Caenorhabditis elegans: one gene and its partners. The protein of the gene in region 2 interacts with the protein of the main gene of each other region in a pairwise test. Each region holds a gene or a part of one and is shown on either strand. Other genes may lie near its edges.

Region 1 (3,436 bases), 4.6 Mb from region 2:
GTTTAATAACTATTTTCTTCTACTTTCTGAAAAATCTCCTTTGCTTAAAATCCTTCATTAATTGCAGAATTCTCTTCTCACTAATTTGCAAAACATCTTCTCATCAAATCTTGTTTTCCACTAAAATCACACAGATTTTCGTAAGAATAATGAGCGCGTTTTCAATGATGAGCTATATACCGACAAAACAGCATGCCAATTGTGATGAAATAGAAGCTTCAATACAACGACTACTTCTTCTACGGTAGTGAAATCCGCTAACTAATTGGGAATAATTGCTGTATTGCATATGCATAAGTTTTTGTATTAACACCACGAGTATGAGGGAGGAGTGATGATGAAGTAATTCTTCTGGAACTATGTTACATTGGAGCTCACCACAGGACACCTTTTTGCGGTGACTCAAGAAACAATAGAGCAAGTCATGAGGTGTCAAATGTTCAAAGTACCCATAGAGCCAGTTATAATTAAGTGTGACATGTAAACGGAAGGAACTTTTCTTAATATTCTTTGTCTTGTATTTGATGACGTGGCAACAATATTTTGCACAGCAGGTCTTACTCCTCTTGTTGCTAATAAGTTTGTGTGAGTATGTCTACTCAACATAATAAGTTAAAAGCCTTCTAGCGCTTCTGCCGTCTATAATGCAATAATAGTCTTCGTTACTCGATGCTCAATTTCTTCGTTTAGTCAGGTCAGCCAGTCGTCTTTCCCTATTTTCTCTCCAAGCTTTAAAACGTTTGAAGGGGTACAGTGATATGCACAAAAAATGCACAAGTTGTTGGGGAAGTGGTGAACATCTGTGGAAAGGTTCAAATTGCTCAGTTGCACAATGACTATTACTAGACGCGTGTCGCTCTCAACACGTTCACACTTGTTATTGTTATTGTACTGGCTCAATCGCATTGTATTGTAACATAAACACGTAATTAGAGGGAGATGATGAGCATGAGAGGTCGAATTGTGCCAAAAGTGGAAAACGGCTGTAAGTAGGCTTTTCATGTAGGCACAAACACTGCCTGTGGCCTTTGTCTACCACAAAAGTACTGAAAGGTGCGTAGTAGGCATGCCTGAATAAGTACAAAATTTTAAGAATAAGTACAAGACTTACATCGTTAGTGAATTTGAAGAGTTTGCAAAATCAAAATTATTTTGTCAATCAAGTTAATACTTCTAGAGTATTTGGCCAAGAATCTTTTGTAGACCATTTGAAAATTTTCAGAAATTGAGTTGATTGCTAAGCTTTTCCAATTTCTTGATGAGATATTTGAGGTTTGAAAACATTATGTAAATTACGTTTTGTTTTTATTGGAATTTTAATTTCACCTATATGCTAGATATACTATTCCAGATCATCAAAACTGGCAAGAAAAGAAGACTCCAGACCATATACAAAAAATGAACACGTCATCATAATACACGACTGATCGAAAATGACACAACTGATTAGTTTCAATATTTTATTCTAGTACTGAACATTACGAGACAATCAATTTCCATATTTTGCTCATCGTCACTTAAGTGGTTGTTTATTCTTTCATCAACCGCCTACAATATTGCCTACGGCAATACTGTCATTCACAATCATTATCCCTCTCATCAACTCTTTTTTCTTCTTCTCCTTGTCGTCTTTCACGGGACCTTCATCTCTATTCGCCGACTCCGCCCCCTTCCGATGCCGTCTGAAGCTCCACCCATTGTGCTCCTATGGGAGCACCATATTACCGTGTTAGCTCATTTACACGAGAATCTTACCTCCCGTAAAATAATCTTCAAACTTATTTGAAAATGATAACTCCTGTATCAAGTTTTTCAATTGATGATCTTCTTCGTGGGCATTCAAACGAAATTCAAAGAATTCTGAAGCTTGATCAAACATCGCCCACTCCCCAATCAAGTTCAGATGAGGTATGTTCTTAAACTATTTTTCTCGTTTGGGTTTTGTAGTCACCATAGGCACTCTGCAAATATTTAAACAAACATATCAGGAATGTATTTCGCTCAATTATCAAAATTGAATTTAAATATAATTTTTCCGTTTTTTTTGGCCTTTGGTCAATGATTTCTTTAAAATTGATTCAAAATAAGTCGCAACTTCATTAAAAAATATTTTGTTTCCTTGATGTGATGCTTGTTCTTTCACAATTACTTAAATTCAACAAGTAATATTTCAATAAAATATGTAAATTTGATCATCAAAAATTACTCTATCGGTTTACTTCCAGGGATCAGAAAAATCATCGATATCCGTAATGTCAGTTCCATTGACAAATGAATTAACTCCCACAATCACTCCTGCTCTTTCTGATCAGCTTTGGCTTGCAGCAGCAGCGTTTCCAATAGAACATAGTCTCTTGTTGGCTCAACGAAATGGAGTTTTTCCTGGATTCTGGTCAACAGCTGATCAGATTCGATTGTCAAATGCAACTAAAGCGTATAGAAGATTGAGGTTGGAATGGTAATGATTGAAATTTATCAAATATAATTATTCTTCTGTTTTCAGTTCGCGAAGAAAAGCAAGAACAGTGTTCAGTGATCAGCAACTACAAGGATTGGAACGAAGATTTGAATCCCAAAGGTGACCAAAAATGCATTCCGAGTTTAGTATTCTAAATCAGACTTTCAGATATCTGAGTACTCCTGAGAGAATTGAATTGGCAAATGCTCTCAATTTGAGTGAAACTCAAGTTAAAACATGGTTTCAAAACCGACGAATGAAGCACAAGAAAGTTGTCAGAAAAGATGATAATAGTGTGGATGACGACAATGGAAATGATAATGAGAGCGAATAAGTATATATATATTTACCGGTAGATTGTCTTTTCTCTATGAATATTTATTTAAAGAATATTGATGTATTATATTATTGCATGTCCAAATAAAGTCAAATTTCTAACAGATATTTTATTACCAACTTATATTTATGATTATGAGGAATAAGTCATGGGGTATTACTTTAATTATATTTATCTCACATCTTATAATTCAATTTTGAACTTTTTGATTTGCCAATTGCCCATCAGTCCTCAAAAAAACGAAACTTTGAAAAATGGTTGTTAAATTATTTTATTCCAAATCATAATACAATAGGACACTTATTCATCGAAGAAGTTGAATGTACATTTTCCGATTTCCCACATATTAGTTGGAACTGCAGCATTGTAGTCATTCCACAACAAAGTACGCTGAAGATTTTTAAGTTAAGCTTGAATAAAACAAAACGTTTGTTACCGTATCCATTTCAATATCACAACCAGGTGCCTTGATAACATGAATATTGAATGATGTGCTCTCTGTAACTGGAAGCTTGAATTGATCCTGATAGATTGGATTTCCTTGCATTTCTCCGAACACCATGTCAACCTAAAAACTATGAAATTGAAGATTTATATTTGATTTTAAAAAAACTAACGTAGTTTTCGTTACTTGGTTCTCG
Region 2 (7,940 bases):
ATTTTCCAATTTTCAGTCATTTTCTGAAGCCCGGAGCAGTTCGAATCGACCATTCACTGAACATGCCAAACCCAGAAATTGAACGAAGTGCATTTTTGAATCCGGATGGCTCAAAAGTCGTGGTGCTCCATAATAAAAATCCTTTGGCACCATATAGTTTATCAATTAAGGATACTATGAAGTCTACTGATCATTATCAAGTTCATTTATCACCTAAAACAATTGTTACGTTGTATATTCAAAATTAGAATAAAATATCAATTTTTTAAAATTTTATTTTTGAAAAATTTAAAAAATCGTGTTGAAACCTGAACTTTTAGTGTAAAAATTTGAATTATTCATTCAATTTCTGAAATTTTAAGCCCCATATCGACTAGAATCGGTTCACTTTGAAATTTGAGCCCCGCGGCGCGGTCGCATCGCGGTCCAAAACTACTAAAATTTAAAAATTGTTTAATACATGCCAATATGGGTGTTAAATGGATGGAAATTTTTAGAAAAATTCGAAAACATGCATAAAAAAGTTTAAAACTATAGGTAAGATGAGTTTTCGATTTTCGACCGCGACGCGACCGCGCCGCTTTCAAAAATTTAAGTTTTATATTGCCTCAAATCATAGCATTGCAGGTGTCAAAGTGATGCAAAATAGCTTGAAACTTAAATTATTCGAACAGACATCCTCTAAAAACGTGGAAAACTTTTTATCTAGCGACTTTTTAGTCTGGACCGCGACGCGACCGCGCCGCGTCCCAAAAACCACCAAAATTTCAAACTGCTTCAAAACATGTCAATATGGGGGTCAAATTGACGCAAATTTTATGAAAAATCCAACAATCAACATGAAAACTTATTTAATAAGCAATTTTTGTCGAAAAATCCACTAAAACTGTGAAGTTTGAATATACAAAGTGGTAATAGCTCGATGTGGAAGTGTAAAATGATAGTGATTACGGCTATCAGCAGCATCCTGGACAACTACTGTGTGCTCCGTTGAGACTAGCTGAAAATTTAGAAATTTTCGGCTGAAAAGTTGGACTTTCAGCACAAACCGAGCCCTTATTGAGCATTACAATAACTTTTGAGCCATCAGGATTCAAAAATGCGGTGGTTTCAACTTCCAGCTCAATTACATTTAATGAGTGGTCGATTCTTACTGCTCCAGGCTTGATGAAGTGACTGAAAATTAGTTATTGCGAAATCCAGTGTTTTCGTGAATTTTTAGATGGTAGAAATTTTTTCTGAAAATTTACAGTTTGAAATTCAAATTCTCCGTACTTCAATTAGTCTGATTCTGAATTTTTAGCTCAAGTTTCGAAAATTGCGCCAAGTTCGGTGTTTTGGGGTACCGTAGTCGGTGTTTGCGTACTTTTGGAGCTACAGTAACCCGGGAATTTTCAAAATTGAGCTAGAAAGATCTAGTTTTTGAGACTCAATCTAAAATTTTGCAGGAAACTCGTATTTGAGCTCAAAAACTCAAAAAATTTCAGAATTTCATCGATATTCAGATGTTTTTGTCGTTTTGGTTAGGTTCCAAAACAATTCTCAGCATTTTTAATATCAAATTCAAATTCTCCACTATTTTCTTAGTATATCTGTGAATTTTTAGTTCAAAATTCGAAAATTGCGTGAAATGCGGTGTTTTGGGGTACTGTAGTCGGTGTTTGCGTACTTTTGGAGCTACAGTAACCCTCGAAATCTCAAAATCGAGCTAGAAACTTCTAGTTTTTGATTTCAAAACTAAAATTATACGAGAAATTCGAATTTCTGTTTGAAAACTTGGAAAATTGCGTGTTAAGCTGCTTTTCAGACAGTTTTAGAAAATTTTCAACAAAAATTTCCCAAAAAATTTCAATTTTTATATTTTCTAGATCCAATTTTAACGACAAATTCTAATATTTTAGTTATTTCATGCAGAAACTAATAGAAACCTACCTAAAATGTGCAATCGCATAAAACATGGGCTGCTTGTAGAATTGAGCCATCGCTGGGAACGCAATGACCGGCGCATCTGTGTAGTCGGACACCCATGATGGACCACCCAGGGCGTCTAGGATTAGGTTACGTTCTGTCCAGCCAGTCATCCAGTTGTTCATGTTCTGGAAAAAAATGTAGAAAAAAAAATTATGAAAAAAAAAATTTGAAAAAAAAATTAAAATTTTGAAATTTTTTTTCCGAACTTTTCCCCAATTTTCTAGAAATTTCTTCAAAACTATATTTTCTCTTACATCTAAAATATCTGAAGCAGTATCTGCTGCACGATCCCAATTTCCATAATCCACGTGGGTGTCCTTGGACCCGTAGCCTTCGGAAGCCTGAAATTTTGGGCCTAAATTTATTTTTCTGCCTAAAAACTAAAATTTACCTCAGTGCCTAAAATAAAAAAATTTGGATGTTTTTTGTGAGTCTCATCCAAGTGATTATCAGTTTCTCCGTCTTGATATGCGTGAACCCCGATACCGCCCACGTACTTTGCGGCGTCCATGTCGTTTAGAACCTGGAAATTGAGAATTTTGAGTATGAAATTCGAACTCTCCGTAAAATTTGCAAAATTTTAAGCCCCATATCGACTTTATTCGGATAAGTTTGAAATTTAGGGCTTGCGGCGCGGTCGCGTCGCGGTCAGGTTTTCATAAACTTGTTTTAACGTAGCCTTGGGCTTTCAAAACATGAAAATTTGAATTTTTCGTGAAATTTGCTGAAATTTGACACCCATATCGGCTATATTCGGACAAGTTTGAAATTTGTGGCATGCGGTGCGGTTGCGTCGCGGTAAAAATTCTACCAATTTTTGAAAACGCTCGAAATTGTTGTTAAAAACAATTGGTTGCTGCAAAATTATTATCTATAATGTCTTGGAAGCGTACCAGACGTCACAGTTCGCCCCAGCTCGATATGAAAAAATTTGACCGCGACGCGACCGCACCGCAAGTCCAAAATTTCAAAATGATCCAAAATAGGTCAATATGGGTGTCAAAACTTTGCAAATTGTACGGAGATTCCAAATTTGACAACATTAACTTACAGTATCTGCCCATTTCGGCAAGTTTCCTCGATTATCGTCCAGAATCAGAAGTTTCACATCTTTTCCAGAACTTGAAGCAGCCAGGGCTGGTCCCAAGTCAGTTTTTATGAAATCTCGTTGTGTTTCAGCTGTGAAAAGTGTCGATTGTATTTTATTCTTCTTATCGGAGCCTAATGTTGGCTGGTTTTGAGTTGAAAGTCCCCAGAATGAGATTCCAGATTTTCCGTACTCCTCGAGGAATCTGAAATTCGAAAAAAAACTCTGATATAGTCTGAAAATAGTTGAATTACCTGACAAAATATTTGGCGTATGCCTGATGATAGTTATCCCCAGCTTTTCCGTTAAGAGCCCCAGGTCCTGTCATTTCTTTAGTAGTCTTAAGCCATCCTGAAATTATTGAAACAATTTTTTTCTTAGGAAAAACAGACAATTTTCGAGCGTTGGCATTTAAATTTCCGAATTAAGCGCAAAATTTTCGTTAATTTGACACCAATCTCGACTATAATCGGACAACTTTGAAAATTAGGCAGATGCGTTGCGGTCGCGTCGCGGTCGAATTTTCAAAAGTGTGTTTAGAAGCGATTATGTGATTTGCAGCTAAATTTTTTGAATTCTCCGTAAAATTCGCGGAATTTTGATATATTGACTATATTTGGAAAAGTTTTAAATTTAGGATATGCGGTGCGGCCGCGTCGCGGTCCGGAATTAGAATTTCGAAATTTGTACCAAAAGTGCGCCAAACTTGTGTTTAATCTAACACAGAAAAATTTAAATACTGCCAAACAGCAGGAAACCCTGATTTTTAATCAGTTAACGCTCCACTTTATTTTCTGGGCCGCGACGCGACCGCGCCGCATGGCCAAAAATTCAACTTGCACCGAATATAGTCAATATGGGGCTTAAAACTCAGCAAATTTTGTGCTAAATTCAAAAATCTTAGTGAGAAACATTACCTGGTGCTGCCCACGGAGCTGCAAATAACTTCAAGTTCGGATTGTACTTCTGCGCGTTTTTGATGTATGGGATCTAAAAATTTTTAAGAGTAAATTTAAAGTTGCGTTGAAATAAACTCACTTTCCACTGGAAATCTTCCTTAGTCAAATTAAAATTCTGCATTGAATAATCATTTGCGACATCGTTATAACTGTAAACTCGACCCGAAAAATCTGTGCTGGCTATTGGAACTCTACCGAATTGGAGGTTAAGTCCTGGAAAAAAATTCAATGGAGCGCACTTGCAATACTGAAAGTTGTAGAATTTGAAATTTCCTAGCGAATGACATATACTTAATTTGAAAATTGTTTGATGTTGCAAGTGCGCTCCACTGAACTTTTGGAATAACTTTCTTCAAATCGGTTCTAGAGAGTTGGGGTAAGAGAGAAAACTGTAGAGAAAATTGTGATCTATCAATTGCAATTAATTTCAAAATTTAATTTCCAAATTTGCAACTGCGCTCTACTGAACTATCGACGTAACTTTTTTCTCAGTGGTCCTAAAAACCTAAACTTTTTTGCAATTGGCCAGTTTCAGCTTAAGCTGTTTAAAAAATGCTAACCTGTATCCGAAAAATATTGTTTCATAATCAAATCCGACAATTTGTCCGGCAAACTCTTCAGGTTTGCACCAGAAGCATCGGAAAATGTGGAGCCAAATCCTTGGATCGTCTGGTATTTTTTGGAGGAGTCAATTGTCATGTGCAGGGTTCCGACTGAAAATTTTAGGGTTTTCAATTCAAAAATTAGAATTTTTGTAAAAAATTAGTAAAGGAACATTTTTTTAGGTACAAGGAAAATTTATTTTAAGAACAAAAAAAAATTCAAAAACTAAAAAATTTCAAAAATATTTTTTAAGCTTCGAAAATTTTTTTCAAACTTGTTTCAGCTGAAAATTCCACAACTCACATGGCTCAGTATCCGTCGCATAGATGACATCCCTGTGGAGCCGGGCGCCGGTATGGGAGGTGGTGTAGAGTGCCGCCTGACCCATAGTGATGTCCAGAGGTGGAATCTGGAATTTTTATACAATTTTTTGAATTTTTCGTGAAATTTTGGTTCAGGAAAGTGTCGGATTTGGCTTAAAGTAACAATTAAAATTAAAAAAAAGGGAAAAAATTTTCTTTTGGAAAATTACCTTTTTTTATTTTTTGAAAATTTTAGATTAAAAAAAAGCGACTGGTTAAAATGCATTTTCATGGGGATTTTCGAGTTTCCCGTGAAATTTCCTTTGATTTGACACCCATATTGGCTATATTCAGACAAAAACTGAATTTTGGTCATGCGTCGCGGCTGCGTCGCGGTCAAACTTTATAGACCCCCTTTAACCAGTTTTAAAGATTCTTTTTGGATAATCTCAATCAATTTTACTTAGTTTCTAAAAATCCTTGCTTGATTCATTGGTTTCTACAAGAATTCTAAAATTTTCAAGTCCGACCGCGACGCGACCGCGCCGCAGGGGAAACTAATTCAAATTTCAAATTTTATGAAATATGGCCGATATTGGTGTTAAATCAACGGTAATTGCGAGGAGAATTCAAAAATTTATATGAAATTTTCATAACAATTTTGGTTTTCAATTTTTTTTCCAAAAATGTTTTTTTTTTCAAATCTCACCTCATCGCAAGAATCGAGACTACAAACGCATACTGTTCCGGTTTTAAATGTTTTTTCCGTACAATCAGCTGCCCGGACACTATCTGAAAAGCGGGATTTCGGAGTGTCGTAGTTCTTGAAAAATTCGACCTACCAACTCCAAAAACCGCTAAAAATATGAAGATTTTCAATAAAAATCGTGACTTCATTTTGTGAAAAAATGGCACAAAATGACGACTAAAGTCTCGTAGTTTTGGCGTTTTTATGAAGTTTATCAGTGTTTCTTATCAGTACCCGGTTCATAGAACACGTGGTGGAATTTACGGAAATTGTGACGATAGTTTTGGAACATAGAACAAAATATGATTATAATTAGGTAAAATTTTTGATGTCAAAAGTTTTTTTGCAAGAAAAATCTGAGTGCAAAGCGAGATTTTGTACAATTTCAAGTTCAAATTCGAGTTGCTCACAAAATTCCAGGCAGGACCCCTGAAATTAGAGCTTTCTAGCTCAATTGTGAAAATTCAGGGGTTACGGTAGCGCCAAAAGTACGCAAACACCAAATTTCACGCGATTTTTGAAATTTGAGCTGAAATTTTTATTGTAGACTAAGAAAAACACGGAGAATCCAAATTACATATTTAAAAATCTGAGCAATTTTCTTAAAAATCAGAAATTTGGCTGAAATTCTACAATTTTGAATTTTCACTCAAAAAACCCGAAAACTATTGATTTTTCAGGGGAAAAAACCAAAAAGCATGAGAAGTGAGCCCAGTAACCATTAAATTCCAAAAATTACAATTCGAGGGTTACGGTAGCGCCAAAAATACGCAAACACCGCCAAAACATTGAATTTTACGCTCACGGACCGACAAGTGGTACATCCATGCAAACGCGCTCTACTGATAATTTGAGTGTAGACCAGGTTTGGGCGCGTGATAACGAAAAAAGCTTTGGTCCAAAAAATTTAGAATTTAATTTCGGACATTTTTTATATGCATCACAAAAAAACTGGACCAACCGTTTTTGAGATACTTGCGCCCAAACTTCCAGGTATACGGTAGACAAATTGCGTACAGGTACCACTTCTCGGGCCGTGACGCTGAGATTTGGGTCGTAGAGGAAAATTACTATAATTTCAAATTAAATGCTTAAAACTTTTTGAAAAACTTGTCGGAAGTCATAAAATCCAATAATTTTGAAAAAATTGCACTATTAAAACTGGAAAACTGGATGCAAATTTCTCCAATTTGATGGCCTTCGAAATTTGAGCCGCGACGCGACCGCAACGCAGCTTGAAAATTATGTCCTTCTGGTCTTCTTTTTCGCGCTCCATTGATAATCGCCGCCGGATAACACGTGGGAAAGTCGTGGGAAGCCAAGCCGCGACGCGGCACACAACGCGCCGTAAATTTACCCCGGCAGTGGCTGAGTCAAGCTGGCCTAATTCGGCAAACTCTTACATTTCAAAATATGAAGAAAATTCACGCATATTTTATTTTCTAATGGAATTTTTTAAAATAAATTTTGATTCATAAGCGTGAAACTTTAAATTAAAAAAAAAAAATTTGAATTTCCAAAATTCGAAAAACAGATCAGTTTCCCGTGACCCCATAAAATCCCTGCCACCTCACCAAAAAACCCCACTATATAAGAAGCGATTTCCCTCCGAAACAATCAGTTCAAACTATCAAAATGAACACCATCGTCTGCCTGGTTGGAGTTTTCCTTCTGGTTTCCGGTAAGTTTTTTGTTTTTTTTTTGTTCAGGCTTGTTTTCCTAAACAAGAATAATTTACAGCTCCATGTGCGTATTCGAAGAAGATGGCGAATACTGACCTTCTTGAAAAAGCCAACGAAATTTTTCAAAAAGAGTTTAAGGATGGTAAATTGATGAGTGAAGGGGAAAATAGTTTCTAAACCTCAGCCTTATTTTTTAAGGTGTTCGACGAGAAGTTGGTGCATATTGCAATGGAGACTGCATGTGGTAAGCCTCCCAAAGATATGGGCATCATCACTCTTGGGGATGGATATGTAAGTTGAATTATATTTTCTAATTTTATATTTATACTATTTTTTCAGGAAGCCTCGGAAAACATTGCGGCACATCATGACCGAGTAGCTTGTATTGAGAAAATATGCGAGAGCAAGAAAGCTACAACTAGCATCTTGTGTGTTGTTGCCGCATCAAAGTGAGATTTTTATTTTTTTCCCCGCTTTTTTAGTTTCAAACGAAGATTTTCTGGCTTTTCTCATATTCTAGGCCATGTTGGCTCGGCCACAGCTCGCGTCGCGTGTCGCGTCGCGGCGTTTTCCATTGCCAATGGAGCG
Region 3 (4,671 bases), on a different chromosome or scaffold from region 2:
CACAAAAAATTAATATATTGCTCTCGACTGCTCCAATAATTTGTAAAAACTTTATTCGAATGTAGAGAGACTATATTTTAATAGTGGCTCATTCAGTTTTTGGATCACATCGTTTTTTTTAAAGGAGAAATGGTTCCATTCTAAGCGCTGGAAAAATGCACGTCTGTAAAGTATTGAGGATAATGTATATTGCTCACTTAATAACTTGACCTCAGAATGAAAACAAAAGTACATCAAATTTTCAACCGGCACATCTTTTCATTGACCTTGTGACAGTCAAAAAATTTTCGAAATTGAACTTGTCAAATAGAAAAGCGGAAGCGAGAGTCTCGTGTTCAATGAGTAGAGACATTTCTCATTTTCCTGAAATGTTCGCCCTGCCAAGGCGATCAATCTCCCGTGTGTTCACCAGCTGTGCACTAACCATCGTTTCATTTTTTTGTTCTTGTTCGCTTAGTTTTTCTCCTCCAAATTCTCACCTACCACATTCCATTGTTTTACAACTTAGGTGTGGTGTCTAGGCTCGGTAAGGGTCGGTGGGCGTGAAACGTTACGATTTAACGTTATCAAAATTGTTAGGTATTGCGGGAAAAACAATAATTGTTTGATCCAAGTAGAAGTTTCCAGACAGCTTTTTACGAACTTTGAGTGGCATTAAGCCATCAGCCGATCATCAAATTTTTGCGTAACTTCAAAAAAAGTATTAAGTTCTTCCCAGTTTATACCGTTTTTATCCATTATTTTCTGAATCCAATCAAAAATATAATGGTCAATGTTTTATAAGCCTACATACACAATAGTTCTGGCCGTATTCTGCCTAATAATCTAAAATCTCCTCGCCCGCATCCTTCTGTCACATTTTGATTTCTTAATCTCTGATATTTTTTAATGCTGGACTATTATTACTGTATTTTGAAAAATTACCACTTTCAATACATTCAATCTTTCAGTTTTGCACACCATTAGTCTAATTGACAACCTGGTTATTTTCACCGATAGCACTGCAAAACTACAAAATAACAAATAAAAACAATTTGCCAGCTAACCTAGAAACGAACTCTTAAAAATGGAGTAGTTGGGTGCAAAACTAAGAAACAAACAATAAAAGATATTTCAAAAACAAAAAGTTTAATTTTCCATATTCCCATAGTTTGTTAGATCGCTGTCTCACCGCAAATTTCACTTTTCTCACCAATGCGTTCTTCCTCCACCTCTTGTGCAACACATTGTCACCCTCTCTCTTCAAAAATGGCAAACTGATTGTCACGTTCTCGCACCCCGAGGTCTTTATCCACCCCGCCACCTATTCCTCTTCGGTGACCGCCCACTTCTTCCATCCGGTGAGCCCTTCATTTTTTCGATTCCTCCCCATCTTGCAATCAGTTGTTCAGAGAGCGACAAGTGATGGGGGGAAACAGATAGATACAGACTATGACATAACTTGTGCTCCGTACTTGCTGATAACTTTATTTGTCGATCAAACGCTTCTACACACTCACACCGTCTCTCCAACCTTGAACACTATTTTTTTGCGGAATTTCTTTTATATTTTTGCAGCAACTTTGCAATTTCTCTTGCTTAACTTAACGACTCACCTGTCTTCATTTTTCACACTTGAGGTGTTCGCTTACATATTCAAAATTTCAGAATGGTCTTCCGGTGGCTCATTCTTTTTGTATTGCTCTACCGGTCCGTCCTACCTGCAGAAGAAGTGGTGGTTGTCGATATTCTCACCAACTCTACAAGTCTTGAAGAACCCACAGTGAGTTTTATCTTCCTCGTTTTTCTATCCGTCCTCAATCTCCAACATGCCGAAATATAAATCTATGTCAGCTAATGACCGACATTTATCAACAGAGTTTATCTAAGCAGGCGGACCCTTTCTATCTGTTGAGTCATCTCACATTCAGTTTTGACACTTTGAAATTTGTTAGGTAACATGAGAAACATAAACATCAACAATTTGATAGGACAAAAAACGTTTTCGATAAGATACTGTATCTAGAGTTGGAACTGTGGTAAAACACTTGGAACCAAAACAAAAAAAACATAAATCTTTTTGTCATGCCATTTTTGGAAAGTCGTAAATTTCAATTACACACGCGGCTTCTTTTTCGATCGCTTCCGTAAGTTGATTGATAACTGGCAGTGGTGAAATATATGTGTGATAATTAACGATGACCACAGCCGAAAATAAAGGAAATTCATTTTGATTTAGTAGTATTTAAGATGACAGGTGTTGAAAAATCAGAAATGGTATAAAGCGAAAACAGTTTCAATTCGCTGATTATATTAGATTTATGGTTGAGTAACTAAAAAGAGAGAGTTGAGAATTTTTGGAATAATATTCAATATTTTAAATTTTTAGGAAGAATATACATGCGACTGCAATACAGATGACTTGATACAAAAGGGAAACTATACCCTCACTGTGGAAGTGAAAAACATGCAAGTGAGGCTAGTAGAACCATTTCGCGATGCAATTGCTTTTACGACAGGTGAGTTAAAAATATTTGGGAGGGGGGGGGGGATCATAGAAAAACGTTTTTGTAATTTTTTTAAATTTACAGTAACAAAGTTTGCTGGAAGTGTACCAACAATAATTTACTACGAGATTTAAAGTGTGGTTTACTTAAATTTACTTAAATTAAAACCCTCTAGGGGTTCAAACAAAGGGCAGATTAAACTAAAAGTTGAGCGTTCGGTATCTTTGGCCTGCTAAAACGGTCAAAAACAATTGTTTTGAATAATTTGGCAACATACCAAAACTTTGACCGAACAGTTTGAAAAATTTCAAAAAATTTTTAAATTTCTATTAATGTATAACATTACTTCTTCCGAAAATAGTAGTGAGAAATTATTTTTTTTCCATTTTGCAGGCGAAAAGAAGCATCTACTAGATTTTATACGATTTGTCACATTACGAGAAGTTCGGTCCACGTACCCATTACTTTTGAACTACACCGACTTTTTAAACTCATTCGATGAGATGATTGGAACGTTCAGGAATATTTTAACGACAGAAAACGTAAGAAACAGATAGTAATACAAATAATCTAGGTATATCTTCTCCTTTGTAGGCGATTTCCTTGACTGGAATCAAGTATGAAGTCTCTACTGCGGTGCAAAAGTTCTTGAGTGCAATTCTTCCTGATATGTTCCTCTGTTTGTCAGTGGGAAAGTGTCGAACAGTTCCATTGGACTATCACAATTGTATGATGGCTAGTACAAAACACTGGTCGGTCTATTTAGGGAATACTCCTAATAAAATGGCTATGACGTAAGATTTGAATTGTTTAAAATAAAGTTTCATGTTTTTACATTTAGAATTTCTGAAGCCATATACCGGTATCGAAAGGTTGAATTTCTACTCGTTGACATGCACAAGCAACTTATGAACGCTCACAATTTAACACTTTCCCATGAGTGTCTTCAAGAATACGTGCATACATTGCCATGCAATTGCACAATGGCTGGAATCACACCTTGCCAGTAAGATAACATTTTAATTGAAATAATCTTACTTTGATGTTTTCTTTAGCACTTCTTGTTCAAACTCAATGGAAAAATGCTTTGGGAAATTTTCTCGAGAGTGGGCAGCCAAATTGCATCTGATGAGGAATATGACGAGTACGAAGAAGTCTTTTTTGGATGAGTTTTTATCAGTAAGTTTTTAATTATTGTTTAATTTTCTAAAAGTGTGACAAAAACATTTTTAAGAAATGATATGAAGAAGCGTATATTTAGATAAAAATATTTAAAATGTTATTTAAAAAAATGTTTTGTGGCCGACATCTAAAATTATGATAGTTGACATCGGAATTGTCAATACTTTTTCAAAATTTTTAGAATGATATTTGTACATTTTAGCACTGTATTCAGTTTCAAGCAACTCTTCCACTGACGATACCACATCTTTAAAATTAAAAAAATAAAATCAACCCAAATTGTAATTCATAATTGTAAATTCTTTTGTTCAAATAAAAAAAACTATATTAGCAAATATCTTATATCTTATTTAAATATCTGCTCGAATAAAAATCATTTTTTGAAGAAAAAACATAACGAGACAATTTGAATTTTGCAATAAATTATTTATATATTATTTATTTCAGTTTTTGAATTTTCTGAACATCATTAATCATTACTATAATGACATCTTGTTTCAAATAATCACGTTTTTATTTTATCCGACCCCTTTCCTCATGATTTTATCTATTCTTGCAGCTCAAGAAAACCATCTTCTCTGTAATTCGAATTTTCATCGAACGCAAGTCATATGTCTACGCGGAGCACGTGTTCAACTCGTGCGGTCCGCTTGGCGAGATGATCATTCATCCATCAAAGCACTCTGTTCACTTTCAGTCGCCAGGACCGTTCGTTTCCCGAGGAGACGGAGCCGTGAGAGAGGTCAGTTTCTGTTGTCGGCGTGCTCTTTGTGCATCGCGCACCAATTGCATAATGATAACAATCATCATTCAATTTTTACAGCTTCAACTTTCTGCAAAAACGTGGGACCGACTCGGAAGGAAAATCTGTGATCACTCGGGAGTTGTTCTGAATCCGACAATGTGTTATGATGGTACAAAAGTCATTTCGTAAGTACTGTTTTTGTAACACAACACATGCAGCTGTTGGGATAAAGGGAGTGCATGGTCTTGGTGTGTGCAA
Region 4 (5,111 bases), on a different chromosome or scaffold from region 2:
ATCAAACAAAGCAAGGAGTCCCTCTCTCTCCGGGTGGGAAGTGCGGGAGCCCCCCTCCCGTCCCTCAAGGTAGTCTCGTAAAACAATGTGACTAAAGCTGATGAGCAAACACAAATGACCATCTCCTTTGCCTCATCCTTCGCCACTTCTTCGACGATTTCGCGAAACAATAAACACGCCTCCGATGCACGAATTGACTCTCAAAATGTGGAACTGTCGTTGCCTCCTTCACTCCTCCCCAATTGCGCCTCTTTAGCGGTTCGTTTGTCGAGAAGGGACGTGTTGATGGGAAAAACACGAACTTTTTTCAAGTACTGATAACACTATGACCGGCTACCGATGTGCTCATCATAGAGCACATGATGTGATGGGGAAAAACAGGGAAACACGAATAAAAATAGAGTTGCTTTGCATTGGCATATTTGTGACTTGTTTTCCTTCATAATGGTCTGCCATATAGAGGTACCGAAAAAATGAATGCCATGACAGCTGTTTAAAACTCTGTACAAGGGCTGTGCGGCAACCGGCAACCGATAGTTGCGGGATGCCAAACATTTTAACGTTCGGCAACTCCGGCAATTGCCTCGCACCCCTGCTTTGCACCGCCAATTGTGCGATTCTTTCTTGAGCGTACCTCAAGTTGTTTCAGGCCTGAAAACCGGAATGACTGCAAATCTGGAATAAAACTCCTGGTGTGCAATTTTAAGTTAACGGACAGAAACCATACAATTCGAGAAACTCTGTTTTGTGCTTAGACGATTCTCTTGCGGGATGAGTCTAATTATATTTATTGATTTTTTTCTTCTCAATAAATGAACATATAACTAGCCAGAATTTTCAATTTTCGCCTAGTTGTCACTAAAAGCCTAGAAGATGGTTGGTTATCCTATTTTTTTTCTGAAATCTGTGACATCACACTACAATCTGCAATAATTTTCTAGGAAGTTAATAAGTTATATTGCTTAAAGATTGGCGTGATCGTAATGACTGATAATTTTTTTGGAAAAACTTTTTTTTTTGAAAAACAAATTTTTGATGATTACATGTATAAAACTCTACAAAATGTAAAGCTTGAAATATTCCAAAAAAAAAAATAATAGAGCCAGCTAATTTTTGAGGGTAAATTCCAAAGAACTGAAATTGAATTTCTAAAAAAGTAGTATTTTTTTAAATTTCCATTCGTCTGAAAAGGTGAAGTGAAGTCGAGTTGTGATATCCCAAAATAACTGTTAAAAAATCAAATAAAATTCTCTAAATTATTTCTGAGTTTTCAATTTTGCACAACACACAATTAAAATCTGGCGGATTAGTATTTAAATTCTAGCGCAGAATGATTGGCCTAGTTTTGACATTTCCGCGTTTTCCTGAAATCGGCGATTTTTGATTTGTCAACTTTTCCACAAAAAAAATTATAAATGAATGTGAAAATTACCTTGTTTATTTTTGATAAATTGGGGAAAAATGAATAATTTTTTTAAAAACTTTAAATTTTTCAATGCGACCTTTTTTTAAAATGTTTCCTGTTCAATTCAAATGATTTCATATAACTTCTTTTTTTAACCCTTCCGCTCAACATTATTAAACCCAAATAAACTTTTGTTTGCCACAAGATTGCAAGATATCTGCCTTTGAATTTGCCATTTTTCGCAATCTTGAATGCAACACAATTGTAACACAATACTCATGTAAACGCAACAGATTGCATGAATAGTGGAGACACAGACATAAGGGAGCTTCTCCGGCTTCTTTCGCATCGATTGACGAAGAGAGGCTCACTTGTGCTCAGCTCTTTAATGTTCCCGTGTTTTGCTGTTTGACTGGAGATTCTTTTGGGAATTAGTTTTTCTGCAAAGCAGACCGAAACGGTGGAGGAACGGTGAGAGTTTGTTTTAAGTCTAGGAAAAAGTATGAGTTTATAATTTTTTTTTAATGAAGTTAAAAAAAAACTATATTGTAAAAGGAATTTTACTGACAGCCCGTTAAGAAAAAATACAAAAAATTAAAACGCTTATTTTCTGATGTAAAAATAGAAAAAACAATTTTCCCATTAATCCTTATTCCTAAATTCAGGTAACGCTTTCTACATGATAAGCGTCACCGTCGCTGCTCAAGGGAAGCCGAAACGATTATTTGGAGGAAATTTCAGAGTAAGTCATTCTAAACAGTGAAAATATGCAAATTATTTGAATTTTTCAAATCAGAGATTTATATTATAACATTCCAAGATTTATGACACAAACATCCATAATCGTAAAACACTCGAAAAATTGAAATTTGAGTTTTAAATACCATATTTTGATAAACGGTCAAGATAAGGGCGAAGCAAGCAACATTAAAAAAAAACAGGCTCCGCTTAAGATTTCGGATTTTCAATTAATTCCCACAGACTAGTCAAATTTTCAGGCATACGGCAGCGGTCGCCTTTCAATATGTGAACTAGAAAAAGACCCAAACGCCTTGAAAAGCGATGAAAAGTAAGCTCTCCTTTATCCTTCTGTTCCAATAATAATTATCACATTCCAGAAAATTCTCATCTTCAACGGTCAAGGTTTTCTTATTTGTGAACAAACTTTTCGAGCTGCTCACAACAATTCTTCATTATTGCATGCCGTACTTGTTCACACAGAAACAGCAGTGGTATCGTCCAGCTGTGCAAAAAGAGGAAATAATTGTAGAGCCGATTGCTCAGGTATTTTTTTAATTAAAATATCAATACCAATAATTAAAACTTTTCATAGGATTTTGAAAGCCACATTCTGGCAGATGTATTCAAGTATTTGGATATTGATGACCTGTTGAATTGTAAATTGGTATGCTGGAAATGGAACGCTACAATTGGAGAAAATGCGTCCGAACTTGCTAGAACCAGAACTGACCAGGTTTTTTTAAAGTTTATAAGCTTAAACATTATACATTTTCCAGATAAGAATTTTGTTCGATGAAGGCGAAGTTGTGGTATATCCAATTGACGAAAAGAGATGTCCAGTCAGGCATCCGCTTCCACCATTACAGGTAATTCAATTGTCTGTACGTATTGGATTCAGAAAACTTTCAAGCATTGCGCAAAAATTTCATAATTTTATCCCAAAAATCCTAAAATTTGAAAGTTGAAACATATTGTAATAACAGGTTGTTTTGTAAACACGAAATGAATAGCTGTACTCATCAGAAAAAGTTACCCGTCTGCTAAAAAAGTCTCACTATTTCAAATTTGAATCCGTATTCCAGGTTCTCCGAAACCGGCTGCGCCATTTAACCACACAATCTTTATTTGTCCGTGGCTTGATTCCGGTGGAATCCGGCCCAGTTTTACGGTTACTTTTAAGCTTGACACTTCAACCACAACAAATGTATTTTATCTGGAGCAAGTTTTCAGCTGATTCCATATTTTTGGTTTGTATATTTTAAAGTTAATTTTTTTAAAATTTAAACATTTTCAGTTTGAAGAACTGGTAAAACAAAACTCAGATACTGTAACAGACTTTGGACTAGAGGAATGTTCCCCTTCACATCTACTCACTGATCGTCTTCTCTCGCCAATTCTGAAAAGTTAGTTGCAAATTATATTTTTTCACAAAAAACACATTTTAAAAAATCAATAATGCATTTAGATTTAACATCTCTCCGTTTGTGGAACAACGGGAAAGGATCACATTATGGTGTGACGGATGACACGCTAATTCGAATCAACGAGTAAGTCTTTGATGTTTCTGCAAAAGAAAAATTTGACCAAATTAGATGTTCACAGTGATCACTTTTATCATATTACCTAAACGACCATAACAATCGAAATGACAGAAATGACAGAAGATGTCAATTTGATTTTTCGCATTGAAAATACCTTGTTCATAGCTTGCAATAAATTTAACGCGTTGACCACATCATCACCTTTGAAAAATAAACTTGAGGACAAAGTCTCATAAATAACTAAAATTGTTTTTTGGTAATGCGGTATTTAAAACAATTATTGTGCTAGCCAACAACTTGTAATGTCCTGATAAAGAAAATTAGCGCACCGATCAAACTTTGTAATGCACTGAAAACTTTGACCCTGACCAGATTTTTCCACAAAATTCAATATACCAGATTTTTTACGAGATATCAAAATTTATAACTTTGCAGCGCAATTCTAAATGGATCTCCAGTGGAAACCATTGATCTAGGCACATGCTTCCTATCAAGTGAAGCTGTATCCCAAATTGTGCAAAGCTGGGAGCAAACTTCAACCAGCGACTTGACCATCATGTTGAGTCATTGTTATCCGGTCAACAAGTGAGTAAACACTCCATTTTTTTCGGTTTTAATTGTTCTAATGAGTACTTTTCACTTTGCAAGAAGTGTCTTTTGTTTCAATTTTCTTTGAGACTTCCTTGTTTTACGCGGTTTGAAAAAGTTTAAAAAAATACCACCGAAATAATTCATTGCAACAAAATCACACAATTTTTCAAGATCACAGTTATATTTTTTGCAGACCGGATGTGATCCGACTTCTACAGGATCGTAATATCACACTGAAGAAAAATCAACAATTACATTCCAAGAACCATATGCTGACACTTGTCTGTTAATGAAGATTATAATAAAGAATCAACACGTTATTACATTGAGGGATATGTTGTTTAATTGCCATTCTTAGATCCTCTGTAGTCAACTTTCTTGCCGTACTTTGAGTAGAATGTGACGGTGCATTGCGTTTTCTTTCCGGTTCTCTGAAATATATTCAAAAAATATTAAAAGCCTTCGCCGATTGACTAACCTCATCGAATGCATTGCAAGTACTATATGGAGGGATGTACAAGTGAAGAGAGACAGCTCCGTTTGAGTGACTCAAATTTTCCATTCTATGAAGACCAAGCTCATCTGAAAAATTGCAATGAAGTTGTTATTATGTTCCTAGCATTGTTTTCAAGTTTAGGCAACCATGTTGTAAAAGACAGATGCATTAAGTGTTTTCAAATATCTTACCATTCATATAGGAAACTCCATTCATTCCATAAGTCTTATTTTCTGAAATATCAAGTGGCACGTGTCGTTTTCTTGGCCAGGCATATTTGGTCTCAGTGAGCTCTCCATCAAGAATTTTCACAAAGCAATGAGCATCAGTATGATCG

The links.
Region 1: the proteins of gba-1 (region 2) and tab-1 interact in a two-hybrid assay, tested with the Caenorhabditis elegans proteins (one large-scale study listed by BioGRID).
Region 3: the proteins of gba-1 (region 2) and lon-2 interact in a two-hybrid assay, tested with the Caenorhabditis elegans proteins (one large-scale study listed by BioGRID).
Region 4: the proteins of gba-1 (region 2) and F56F10.2 interact in a two-hybrid assay, tested with the Caenorhabditis elegans proteins (one large-scale study listed by BioGRID).

What each region holds. Positions count from the first base shown.
Region 1 is NC_003280.10:6,801,970-6,805,405, forward strand, and holds tab-1 (Homeobox domain-containing protein), read left to right. Parts: upstream 1-1,731; 5' UTR 1,732-1,788; coding exon 1,789-1,908; intron 1,909-2,225; coding exon 2,226-2,458; intron 2,459-2,503; coding exon 2,504-2,578; intron 2,579-2,626; coding exon 2,627-2,792; 3' UTR 2,793-2,894; downstream 2,895-3,436. Other genes in the region: F31E8.5 (DUF4091 domain-containing protein), read right to left, coding at 3,096-3,185, 3,232-3,363, 3,413-3,436.
Region 2 is NC_003280.10:2,174,826-2,182,765, reverse strand, and holds gba-1 (Putative glucosylceramidase 1), read right to left. Parts: upstream 6,026-7,940; 5' UTR 5,820-6,025; coding exon 5,765-5,819; intron 5,715-5,764; coding exon 5,632-5,714; intron 5,030-5,631; coding exon 4,924-5,029; intron 4,731-4,923; coding exon 4,578-4,730; intron 4,231-4,577; coding exon 4,097-4,230; intron 4,049-4,096; coding exon 3,976-4,048; intron 3,410-3,975; coding exon 3,313-3,409; intron 3,264-3,312; coding exon 3,023-3,263; intron 2,495-3,022; coding exon 2,363-2,494; intron 2,313-2,362; coding exon 2,226-2,312; intron 2,097-2,225; coding exon 1,933-2,096; intron 1,177-1,932; coding exon 1,050-1,176; intron 1,001-1,049; coding exon 881-1,000; 3' UTR 256-880; downstream 1-255. Other genes in the region: gba-2 (Putative glucosylceramidase 2), read left to right, coding at 17-248; C33C12.7 (AMP-binding_C domain-containing protein), read left to right, coding at 7,492-7,494, 7,551-7,643, 7,692-7,801. UniProt on the Caenorhabditis elegans protein: Glucosylceramidase that catalyzes the hydrolysis of glucosylceramides into free ceramides and glucose. C.elegans contains specific sphingoid bases, which are unique or different in structure compared to the sphingoid bases found in other animals.
Region 3 is NC_003284.9:4,746,060-4,750,730, reverse strand, and holds the start of lon-2 (LONg), read left to right. Parts: upstream 1-1,647; 5' UTR 1,648-1,648; coding exon 1,649-1,762; intron 1,763-2,368; coding exon 2,369-2,498; intron 2,499-2,879; coding exon 2,880-3,028; intron 3,029-3,080; coding exon 3,081-3,280; intron 3,281-3,327; coding exon 3,328-3,492; intron 3,493-3,541; coding exon 3,542-3,665; intron 3,666-4,227; coding exon 4,228-4,410; intron 4,411-4,491; coding exon 4,492-4,598; intron 4,599-4,671.
Region 4 is NC_003284.9:857,864-862,974, forward strand, and holds F56F10.2 (F-box domain-containing protein), read left to right. Parts: upstream 1-1,751; 5' UTR 1,752-1,876; intron 1,877-2,070; 5' UTR 2,071-2,084; coding exon 2,085-2,147; intron 2,148-2,403; coding exon 2,404-2,474; intron 2,475-2,523; coding exon 2,524-2,689; intron 2,690-2,738; coding exon 2,739-2,879; intron 2,880-2,922; coding exon 2,923-3,012; intron 3,013-3,228; coding exon 3,229-3,393; intron 3,394-3,440; coding exon 3,441-3,549; intron 3,550-3,611; coding exon 3,612-3,693; intron 3,694-4,122; coding exon 4,123-4,272; intron 4,273-4,403; exon of another isoform or gene 4,404-4,471; coding exon 4,472-4,568; 3' UTR 4,569-4,598; downstream 4,599-5,111. Other genes in the region: cdo-1 (Cysteine dioxygenase 1), read right to left, coding at 4,620-4,709, 4,757-4,860, 4,966-5,111.